2 linked regions of the Drosophila melanogaster genome follow. The protein of the gene in region 1 interacts with the protein of each later gene in a pairwise test. Each region holds a gene or a part of one and is shown on either strand. Other genes may lie near its edges. The genes, in order: GckIII and mav.

Region 1 (4,897 bases):
ACTGACGCCCTCGAAAATAGGCACCTACAGGTGCGGGAACAGCGATCTGGACACCTCGAACTGCACGAACGCAAGCATGAATGCCACAGTCGGATCAGAGATCCCCAACAGCTCGTCATTTTCATTTTCATTCTTTGGCCGTGGCCGCAAGCGTGAACGCACTCCCCCACCACTGACGGCCTCTCAGTCGACCAGTGACCTGGGCCACGACGTGGATATGTCGCCGCCAAAGCGCGCCCGCTTCGACTTGTTCAGCCTGAATTTGGCTTCTCCCTTTAGCTTGCTGCGCTCGAGATTCTCCAAGGCAACAATCGGTACTCCGACCCGTCTGCGTCTGGAGCCGAACAGTTCCGGCGTGGAGGAGCAACATCTGAACACATCTACGACTGGCGTACCAGAAGAGGTTGATGTGGAGGAGGAACAACCGGCCGAAGACGTGACCGTTGGTCAGGAGGCCGGAGCGGAGGAAATCCCCGCCAAGAAGGATGTCGAGGATAAGAACGTCAATGGCCAGGATGGCGACAAGGAGTCCAGCGATGGAGAAAACATTGACCCTGTTGTAGAGGTGGCTGATGTTGCCGCGGTCGCTGCCGAGGGCCGATCCATCTGCTCAATTATGTAATACAACAGGCCAGACCACATAATACCCTTCCCTTAGTTGATAAGATTGTCTTAGCATATCTGTTTCACCCTCTTTGGTAATTTATGTTCTGACGTAAAGTAACATGTTAAGAGAAAGTTTTATAGCTAGGACTCGTCGGGTCGTTTTTCGTCAGGAAAATCACCGTTCTGTCACAGATTCCTTGCTGGTTGTCTCCTCGCGAACTCCCGGGTCGCAGACAACCACCGACGAATCTGACGATCTGTACCCAGGCAAAAGTGGGTACCAACCGTAGAAAACCCATACTTGTAGTAATCTGTTTAAGAAATTTTTATATAAAACACATATTTGTGAAAGTCTTTTCGCCGAGTTCATGTATTGTTTCGCTATATCAAAAGAAAAAAAGAAAAATGTAACACATTTCATAAATAAAGTACATTAAAACGAAATATCTGAATTTTTGGTGTATGCATGGGTATTGAAGGCACTGCGATTTTCTTTTTCAGATATAAGTAACTTATGTGTTTTATGTATTAAAATAACCCATCAATTGCGATATTAAGCTTAAAGAAAATTATTTTGAATGATGTGAAATTGAATCCTTAGTGATGGCGAAAAAATCATTTTAGTTGCATCGTTTGGAAACCAGTTGTTTTTATTTATACTCGATAACTACATCCATTTACAATAAACTAAAAATGAGGGACTCGATGTAAATTCATTCTGCAACATTAAGTTTTTAGCGGGTATCGATGCAACGCTTTCCAATATTCAATATTATGTGGCAACGCTGCCAAATGGGTTTTGTAATTACAGAAGTGGGTAAAGAAATAAAATAGTTAACATCTAATATTTATATATTGTAAGCTTTGACACAAGTCGAATAGGAAAATAAATGAATAAGTTAATCTTATTTAAGCTTTTCGGAACTGCTAACGAGTTAAATAATCTTAGGGAAATTAATAACTATTATATTAGTGAAAGAATAAGAATTGCTCTGCCAGAGTTAAGAAAATACATACGAATCGTGAAATAAATATTATTACAATTAAAATAAAAAATTAATTTTAATATTTATTTTTCGGCTGGCGGCTCTAATCAACAGCTGGAAAGATATCGATATCGACAGGAGAATATCGATATTCAATCGGTATTCGATACTGCTGCGATACAGCAAAAAAAAGAGAGATTTCTCGGATTAGATGAGATACCAACGAAAAAATTATTAGTCAAGTGCCCCCGCAGAGTAGTTCAGCCACCAAATAGCCCGCAGAACAGTTCAGTCCAGTTGGGTCCAACACAAGCCAGTCGAGAGCCAGCGGAGTAACAAGGAAACCCGTGAATCCAGAAGGAGGTGGAGGAGGAGAGCCAGAAGCCACGAAGTGGGAAGTAGAAACCAGATAGGAAACATGTCCTGGACGGAGAAAGTCGATCCAGAGCTCATCTTCACCAAGCAGGAGCGCATCGGCAAGGGCTCCTTCGGCGAGGTGTTCAAGGGCATCGACAACCGCACCCAGCAAGTGGTGGCCATCAAGATCATCGATCTGGAGGAGGCCGAAGATGAGATCGACGACATCCAGCAGGAGATCATGGTGCTGTCGCAGTGCGACTCGCCGTACGTGACGAAGTACTATGGCAGCTTTCTTAAGGGCACCAAGTTATGGATCATCATGGAGTACCTGGGCGGTGGATCCGCCTTGGACCTCATGAAGGCCGGCTCCTTCGAGGAAATGCACATCGGGATCATATTGCGCGAAGTGCTTAAGGGCCTGGACTACCTGCACTCGGAGCGCAAGCTGCATCGCGACATCAAGGCGGCCAATGTTCTGTTGAGCGAACAGGGCGATGTCAAGCTGGCGGACTTTGGAGTCGCTGGCCAGCTGACCAACACCACATCCAAGAGGAACACCTTCGTGGGCACGCCCTTTTGGATGGCGCCCGAGGTGATCAAGCAGTCACAGTACGATGCCAAGGCGGACATCTGGTCGTTGGGCATCACGGCTATCGAACTGGCCAAGGGTGAGCCGCCCAATTCGGAGCTGCATCCGATGCGCGTGCTCTTCCTCATCCCCAAGAACAATCCACCCCAGCTGACGGGCAGCTATACCAAGTCTTTTAAGGACTTTGTGGAGGCCTGCCTAAACAAGGACCCGGAGAACAGGCCCACGGCCAAGGAGCTGCTCAAGTACCCGTTCATCAAGAAGGCCAAGAAGAACGCCTATCTGATTGACCTGATCGACCGCTTCAAGAAGTGGAAGGTCTCCAAGGGCGACGAAAGTGAGACGGAGTCTGAGAACTCTGACTCGGACTCGGACGCCAAGCAGGGCGGCAGCAGCCAGGATGAGCCCTGGATCATGACCGTCAAGGGCCTGCATATCAACAGTGCTCCGCGGGCGGGTGTCAACAGCTTCCAGTTGCAGGAGCACGAGCTAACCATGCAGAAGCTGATGCAGACCACACACTCGCCAGCCGGCGGTGGTGGCGTGCAAGCGTCCCCTGCTGCAAATGCATTATCGTCCTCTGTGTCCGCCGTGGCGGCGTCAGCTTCCTCCGTATCGGTCATTACAGCCAACGAAGGTGTCTCCTCTGCATCCGCCCTGCCCCCCCAGAACAGTCACGTCCACAACCACAACCACAACAACATTAACAACAATAACATCAGAAACTTGAGCAACAAGCATGCCACCACCACCATGCTGAACGCAGCTCCTCCGCCGAGCAGCGTCACAAGCTCGTCGTCGGCCAGTGAGCTGCAGCAGAAGCGTTCCAGCTCGAAGCCGGAGCTGCGCCAGTCGCGATCCGCCGCCCCTCTGGATCAAGTAGAGGATCGCCGTGCCTCTTTGGGCCTGCCATTGCAGTCGTCGGTTCCGACTCCATCGACGGCTGAGCAGCAGCAACAGCGCCGCAGCAGCCAACGTGAATCATTCCATGCAAATAACGCCGCGCTGGTTGCCAGCTGCAGCAGCAGTAGCAACAACCACAGCCACGAGGAGCATGTGGCCACCAACCATGCCAGCCATGTCAAGCACTCTGGGGCGGGACAACGCCTAGTCCAAACGAACAGCGCCTGTCTGAACAACTTCCTCTTCCCCGTGCTGAGCGACATCCAGCGAAAGTACTCCGGCGGAGGATCTGCAGGAAGCGGAGGATCAGGCGGCCGTAACATAGGCGTCGGCAGCGACATCGGCGACCTGAAGTCTGTGTTCGAGCTGGCCGAACGTTCCAGTCCGGGAGTGAGCGACCTATTTATGAAAGAGCTGATCCACATGCTCGTTCCTGGTTACTCGGAGACGCGAATCAATACGATCATGGACCGCGCCATACGCAACCGCAAGTAGCTGGCGAAGCCGTAGCAAATTCCGATTCCAAGCAGCCTATTTTAATATATACACAACTTTATTAACGACACCGAGACAACACAAACTGAAACGCTGGAGCAGACATATTCCGACATTTAGTGGCCAACAGAGGACCGGGAGCGATGTACATGTATTTCAATTGAACAGTTATTTAAGCATATAATATGTATTCGTTTGTTTATCTGCAATATTAATCTAATGTAAAACATATATAACTTCAAAATAAAAACCCCACAAAAATAAACAATTCGATTTTGGCGCGCTAATGCGAACTTGGCATCATTGGTGACTCCGAGTATTCATTTGATCTGGCAACGCTGGACGCTAGCGAAAAATGCAGTAAATAAAAAAATAAATAAATTGAATAAACAGGATATCGTTAAATAAATAATAATTATAATCAAAAAGCCGTGCAAATAGAACATCAAAACGACCTTATTGGAAATGAGGAACCCAAGTTTTCTATTTGTTTTATATAAATAAAAATGGGACGTGTTTAGTTAAGTCGCGTTTTGGTGTATTTTTTGGCGCCTTGGAGACGGTAACACCAGTGGCAACGCCATTTTTGTTGACTCTTTATTTTTGTGTTTTAAGATTTCTTTTAGTTTTTATAAATTTTAATCAAGTATTCCGTGAACTGATAACTACATAACCATGGCGAATGCGGTGGTGGACGAGGAAACACTGGAGGCAATGGTCTACGAGCGCTCTAAGGCCTGGTCCAGTAAAATGGCGGTGAGTCCGTAGAAACCCAAGTGGCGTCTCTTCTTGATGGACGATATTGTTTTATAGGATTTTGCCAGCCTGGAAGACGGCATGGAAATAGATGTGGCCGAGTTCGACAACTTGTTCCACGGCGAGGACGAGGACCCCGACCTGGATGACGTGGCAAAGGAGGCTGTGGAGGACAATGTGCCCGACGAGGCAAAGCTTGAAA
Region 2 (5,590 bases), on another chromosome or scaffold:
ATTATGCACACAGTATGGAATACTACGTTAGAGGTGGCGAAGTCAAATATGGTTTGGCAAATTGACAAAAACTTACAAGAGTAATAAAAATATGACACAAGAAACAGGTTACTGATCCTTCCCATGAATATATATGTTATCATAAGTAGGCAGAAGTGCCGCTATAAATATTTGAATATGAAATTGTAGTTTAGTTTTAAACACAGCTCAAAAGTGATCAGTCGTATTCTGATGCACTTAATAAAGAATAATAATTATTATTTGTCTTAACTTAATAAGTGCTTAATTTATATACTTTATATGTATGGTCGGAAAAGCTTCCTTTTGCTTTACGAGCAAAGGTCATAGCGATGTGGAAAATTAGATTAAGATTGACGAAGTGGTCATCATTTTGCTCTACAAAATATCGCACTTACGTTAATCACATTGAGACAAGTTTTTTACAATCACTTTGTAAACCTCCCAATTCAAAACGCATCCGTTTGCATCCCGGAAAGGCTTCAGGGTGTTTTCCGAAATTAATATTTCTAGGATATTTACATATATTTATTACAAAGCTTTCGTGAACTTCACTCAGTAATGTTTCTTAAATACGTTTAGAAATCGACCACACGGATGCTTTTGAATGTCTTATATCTAAACAGCAGGAAAAGTTCCCAAAGAATATAAAAAATAAATACATTAAGTAATTCAGTTTTTATTTTATTGAATATTTTTTATATACATATTTATGAATAATGTACATATATATGTAATGTACCTGAAAAACATTTCTCAGACACCAGAAAACCAAAGACCCTAGAATAAGAATTCTAGTGTCTTTGAGAAAACTCTGACGATTCAAAATGTAAAATGCAAGTTAAGAGAAACAAAAATACAGAGAGGAAAAAGTGCTAGGCGCTTCTTTGTTCTTTTACTATGTCTTTTGTCATTTATTATTCCTAAGTACCGTTTGATCAGCAATTTGCCTGCCTTGCTTACTATGGAGTTCAAAAATATAGGGTCAGGAAACATAAGCACAGACTAGAATCTTATCCGAATAGTCTAGCTAGACGACTAAGTATCGCAGCCCAAAGCCATCGGAGAATAACGAGAAGAAGATTGAAACGCCACCACCCTCAAGACCTGACTAACCGAGACTTCACATAAAACTTACTTAATTATAATCTTCTAAATATTATAGCCTCACATTCCACTTCTTGAATACTCATAATCATATAATCTTTGTAAATAACTTAGATATTCAGATTCGTTTAAATTGATACCGATTAGATTAAGTTGTCTAAGAAGTACGCTGGTCAATTAAATAATTTCGTTTAACAAATTTAATAAAAAAAGGAAACATAAATGTACACACTTTTCGAGAAAATATTTTATGTATAAGAAATCCCTATTCAATAATTTAAGGTATTTTAGAAAATATATCAATATTCAATATTTAAATACGAGTAAAAAAATCAAAATATAATTTAAAAAAGATAATAGTATTCTGCTACAACTATGCTTAGGGAAAACATAGTTTTTGGTTGTACCTGAACATGCGCGATTGGAAATATGAGCCATATGCCACCTTAGGGTTTTTAAACCAGTTACTCGAAAACCATATAACAGACAGAAGGAAACGTTTTCGAGCAAATCAGGATCAATAGCCTAGTCGAACTGTCTGTGTCCGTCTGTCCGTATGAAGGCCTCGATCTCAGGAACTATAAAAAATAGAATGTTGCGATTAAGAATGCAACTTCTAGAGACAGAAGCAGAGCAAGTTTGCCACGCCCTAAAACCGCCCAAAACTGCCACGCCCACACTTGTGCATTTTTTTTATACTTTTAGTTTTGTAAATTTCTATTGATTTGTCACTTGTCTTGCCAATCTCTATAGGTACACCAAAAACACTTTGCCATGCCCCACACTTTCGAACAATTCGAAACAATTTTTTCTCCGAATCCGATCTGGTTATGGGAAAGGGAGCAAAGCCTATCCTGGGAATGCACGGCGGGCGGAGTATAATCAAGCAAGATGTAAGGGATGTTGCATGTGAATACGCCTGTACACAGGTACACACAACGCAACACCCAGAAAATCTTGTGTTTGTAAGACGTGCATGAGTCCACTGCAGATGTGTGGGTGTGTGTGGGGGTATGAGACTAATGTTCATATTGCTGCTGTTAAGTAAGCATTTGCTGTGGGTATTTTAGTCGAATTTGAAGCAATGTCCGAACAGGTTCCGTATCGATGTGTACAAGAATGTTAATGAGAGTGCGACCGAGACGAAAATATATACACATTTTCGAGGAACTGTGATCATTTATTTACTTTACCGAAAGAAATTTTTTGTTTCTTTAAATTAAGTGCCGTAAACGAAATCCCGAAAATAAGATCAATGCAATCAACAAACTCGTGCAGATTTAACCTAATAAGTAATGGTGTGGATGTGAACATTTTTACAGAGATTCTGAGCCTACATACATATGTAGATACTTGCCAACGTTCATTAGTATGTATATACATATGTAGGCATGCGAATGTGTAATTTTGAAGAAGAGTACATACTGGAAGATTGATCGACTGGAAGAACGATAATCATTTTTATAATTGACATTAGCAAAGGAACCCTAATGGCCATGCGGAGAAAACATGATAATAGACATTAATCCAAACTTAACGCCAAAAAAGGAAACAGCTGTGTGGTGCGACTCTTTTCAACATAAATGTAAAGTTAGTAACCGTACAATAAAAATATTTCCATCGCTTTTGAACAAGTCCAACTGGATCGTTAGTATTTTGTGGCATATTTGTGTTCACCATACCATAACTATAAGAAACTCTAAAGCACGAGAACCTCCTTGCAAACATCCGCCTATTACTGATAATGCTGAGGCTAAGCTCACCCTAGTTTGTAGTAGGTCACTAAAGCTTTACAAAATATGGTTTATATTGATTTTATTGATGTCAACTCAGCATCAAGTCAGTGGCCATGGCATATTCCGCCAAACGTCAAGTTCAAAAGCAGTATTTTCATACTATCAGCCTAAAGAAAATATTACATTTACCAATTTGCAGCTTCAAAATTTAGAAAATGAAGCTAAGAGACTAGAAACAAATCAACATCCAATAATCCGAGCCAAATCAACTCCGAAAATGGGTCTTAAAAATGTATTTGAAAGCTTTAGCAAACAAAGCAGAGACTCAATCTACAATGCCAGTTCAAATAAATATAGTCTGATTAATGTAAGCCAGTCAAAAAACTTTCCTCAATTATTCAATAAAAAATTGTCAGTTCAGTGGATAAACACCGTACCAATTCAAAGTAGGCAAACGAGGGAAACTAGGGATATCGGCCTAGAAACTAAGAGGCATAGTAAGCCATCAAAAAGAGTAGATGAAACCAGACTAAAGCACCTCGTTTTGAAGGGCCTTGGAATTAAAAAACTACCAGATATGAGAAAGGTAAGATTTAAATTACAGCTATTGTCACGTCCTGTAAAAGAAAGCTGTGCAGTGTTATGCCAAACCGTATACAGAAGGGTCCACCTAAAGGATATTATTTATTTACAGGTCAATATAAGCCAAGCTGAATATTCCAGCAAATATATAGAATACTTAAGTCGCCTAAGAAGTAACCAGGAGAAGGGCAACAGCTATTTTAACAACTTCATGGGAGCTTCCTTTACAAGAGACCTACATTTTCTAAGCATTACCACAAACGGATTCAATGATATAAGCAACAAACGATTGCGCCATAGAAGGTCGCTTAAAAAAATTAACAGATTAAACCAAAACCCAAAAAAGCATCAAAATTATGGAGACCTACTACGTGGCGAACAGGATACAATGAATATTCTTTTACACTTTCCATTGACAAATGCACAAGATGCAAATTTTCACCATGATAAAATCGACGAGGCCAATGTTAGGCTTATGCTTCTCTATAGTTCATCGTTGGCAACAAATTTCCGACGAGGGCCAGGATCTAGGAAAAATAAGATCAGTCAAATTTCCGGGAATGATAACATCGAAAGGCACTGTAATTTTGGTGATGTCAATTTGAACCAATCTAACAAAAATAGTAGCCAGCAATTAACTTTAAAAGTATATCAACTTCTTTCAGCGAATAGACGAAGAAAGATAACGTCTCGTAAAATTGAATTTGGAAATGTTGGCTTCCAAGAAACTCGAACACAGTGGATAGAATTTGACGTGACCAAAGCTGTTCGTAGTTGGTTGAACAAAAGCCATGAAAACTTGGGGATAGAAATTCAATGTGATAAATGTAAAAGTATAGGGGCTCGTATATTGAGTGATTTCAGCCCGTCAACACCACCACGCTCGACCGCCTCAAGCGACGAACACTTAAACCTCATGCCAGTTCTTAATATAATTGGACACGGAACGCTGAATTCCCAACAGCACGGCGACGCGGATATTCACCAAATCATGCTGACCAATAATAGAAGCGATCAATACGTGCATCACCGTTCAAACCATGATAGCACCTGGAGAAAAGATAAGTGGACCAACAACTGTTACAAATTGCACCAACGATGTTGTAGAAATCAATTGGATGTTGCCTTTAAGAGCATTAAGGGATTCGAATTCATTTTACAGCCGAAGGTATTCGATGCAGGGTACTGCCACGGAAGATGTCCACCACGTCACAATCCCGCCCACCACCACGCCCTACTGCAAAGTCTGATATGGCAAGAAGATCACAAAAGAGCCCCCCGTCCATGCTGTACTCCTTCAAAGCTTGAGATGCTTGAAATATTGCATGTTGACGAAAACCACAGCGACAAACTCAAAATTTCGACATGGAGTGATATGCAGGTTGTAGAATGTGCCTGTTCGTAAAAAAAACTTTCTCTAACGAATTATTCTTACATACATATTCTATTATTCGTTTTTAAGTTTTGTTTCTCATTTGGTTCAAATTTTGTGAATTTTTAAACATGTAACAATGCTGAATAAATAGAAATATTTTTTGTTCGTATAGCGGCATTTACAAATTGTGTGTTTTATTACCGCTATTGCACTAATGACTTTTGGCGAATTCCTTGAGGGAAGATAAAGACGTTTAGATGTAGAAGGCAGTCAGTCCTATGCAAAAACCAGTGATGCGCAGGAATCACTAAAAGCTGCATGATTGCAGTCCTGATAATATGAGAAAGAGGTCTCGAAAAGCGTGGTTAGAATGATTTGGTTTTTGCTAATCGTAAAAACAAAATGACTACTTTAACAAATCGAAAAGAAATCTCAGTACATCAGGCGCACATTGATTTTCCTGTCGAAGTTTGGGGAGCGCATAGGAAAAGTACTAGTTTTTTTCACGTGAATATAAAAAAATGTGGCTAGGTACATTGCATCAAACGGCTTTTTATAGTGTTCAACAAAAATCCAATAGTTTGTATTTTTTGAAAATATAAGGAAATTGATTATATACAATCCAAAGACGAAAGAAAAAATTGTCTGCACTGATGCACTTGTTTGTTTGATTATTAATTATTAAGAATATGTATATAAATGTTCTAACATAGATATGAACGTTATTTATTTAAATTGATTGAATTAACAATTTGATGTAAAATTAAAATAC

What was found.
Region 2: the proteins of GckIII (region 1) and mav interact in a two-hybrid assay, tested with the Drosophila melanogaster proteins (one large-scale study listed by BioGRID).

The regions. Positions count from the first base shown.
Region 1 is NT_033777.3:17,083,788-17,088,684, forward strand, and holds GckIII (germinal centre kinase III), read left to right. Parts: upstream 1-1,725; 5' UTR 1,726-2,010; coding exon 2,011-3,939; 3' UTR 3,940-4,201; downstream 4,202-4,897. Other genes in the region: kuk (kugelkern), read left to right, coding at 1-622; cal1 (chromosome alignment defect 1), read left to right, coding at 4,615-4,695, 4,753-4,897.
Region 2 is NC_004353.4:622,629-628,218, reverse strand, and holds mav (maverick), read left to right. Parts: upstream 1-2,187; 5' UTR 2,188-2,634; coding exon 2,635-3,447; intron 3,448-3,555; coding exon 3,556-4,848; 3' UTR 4,849-5,000; downstream 5,001-5,590.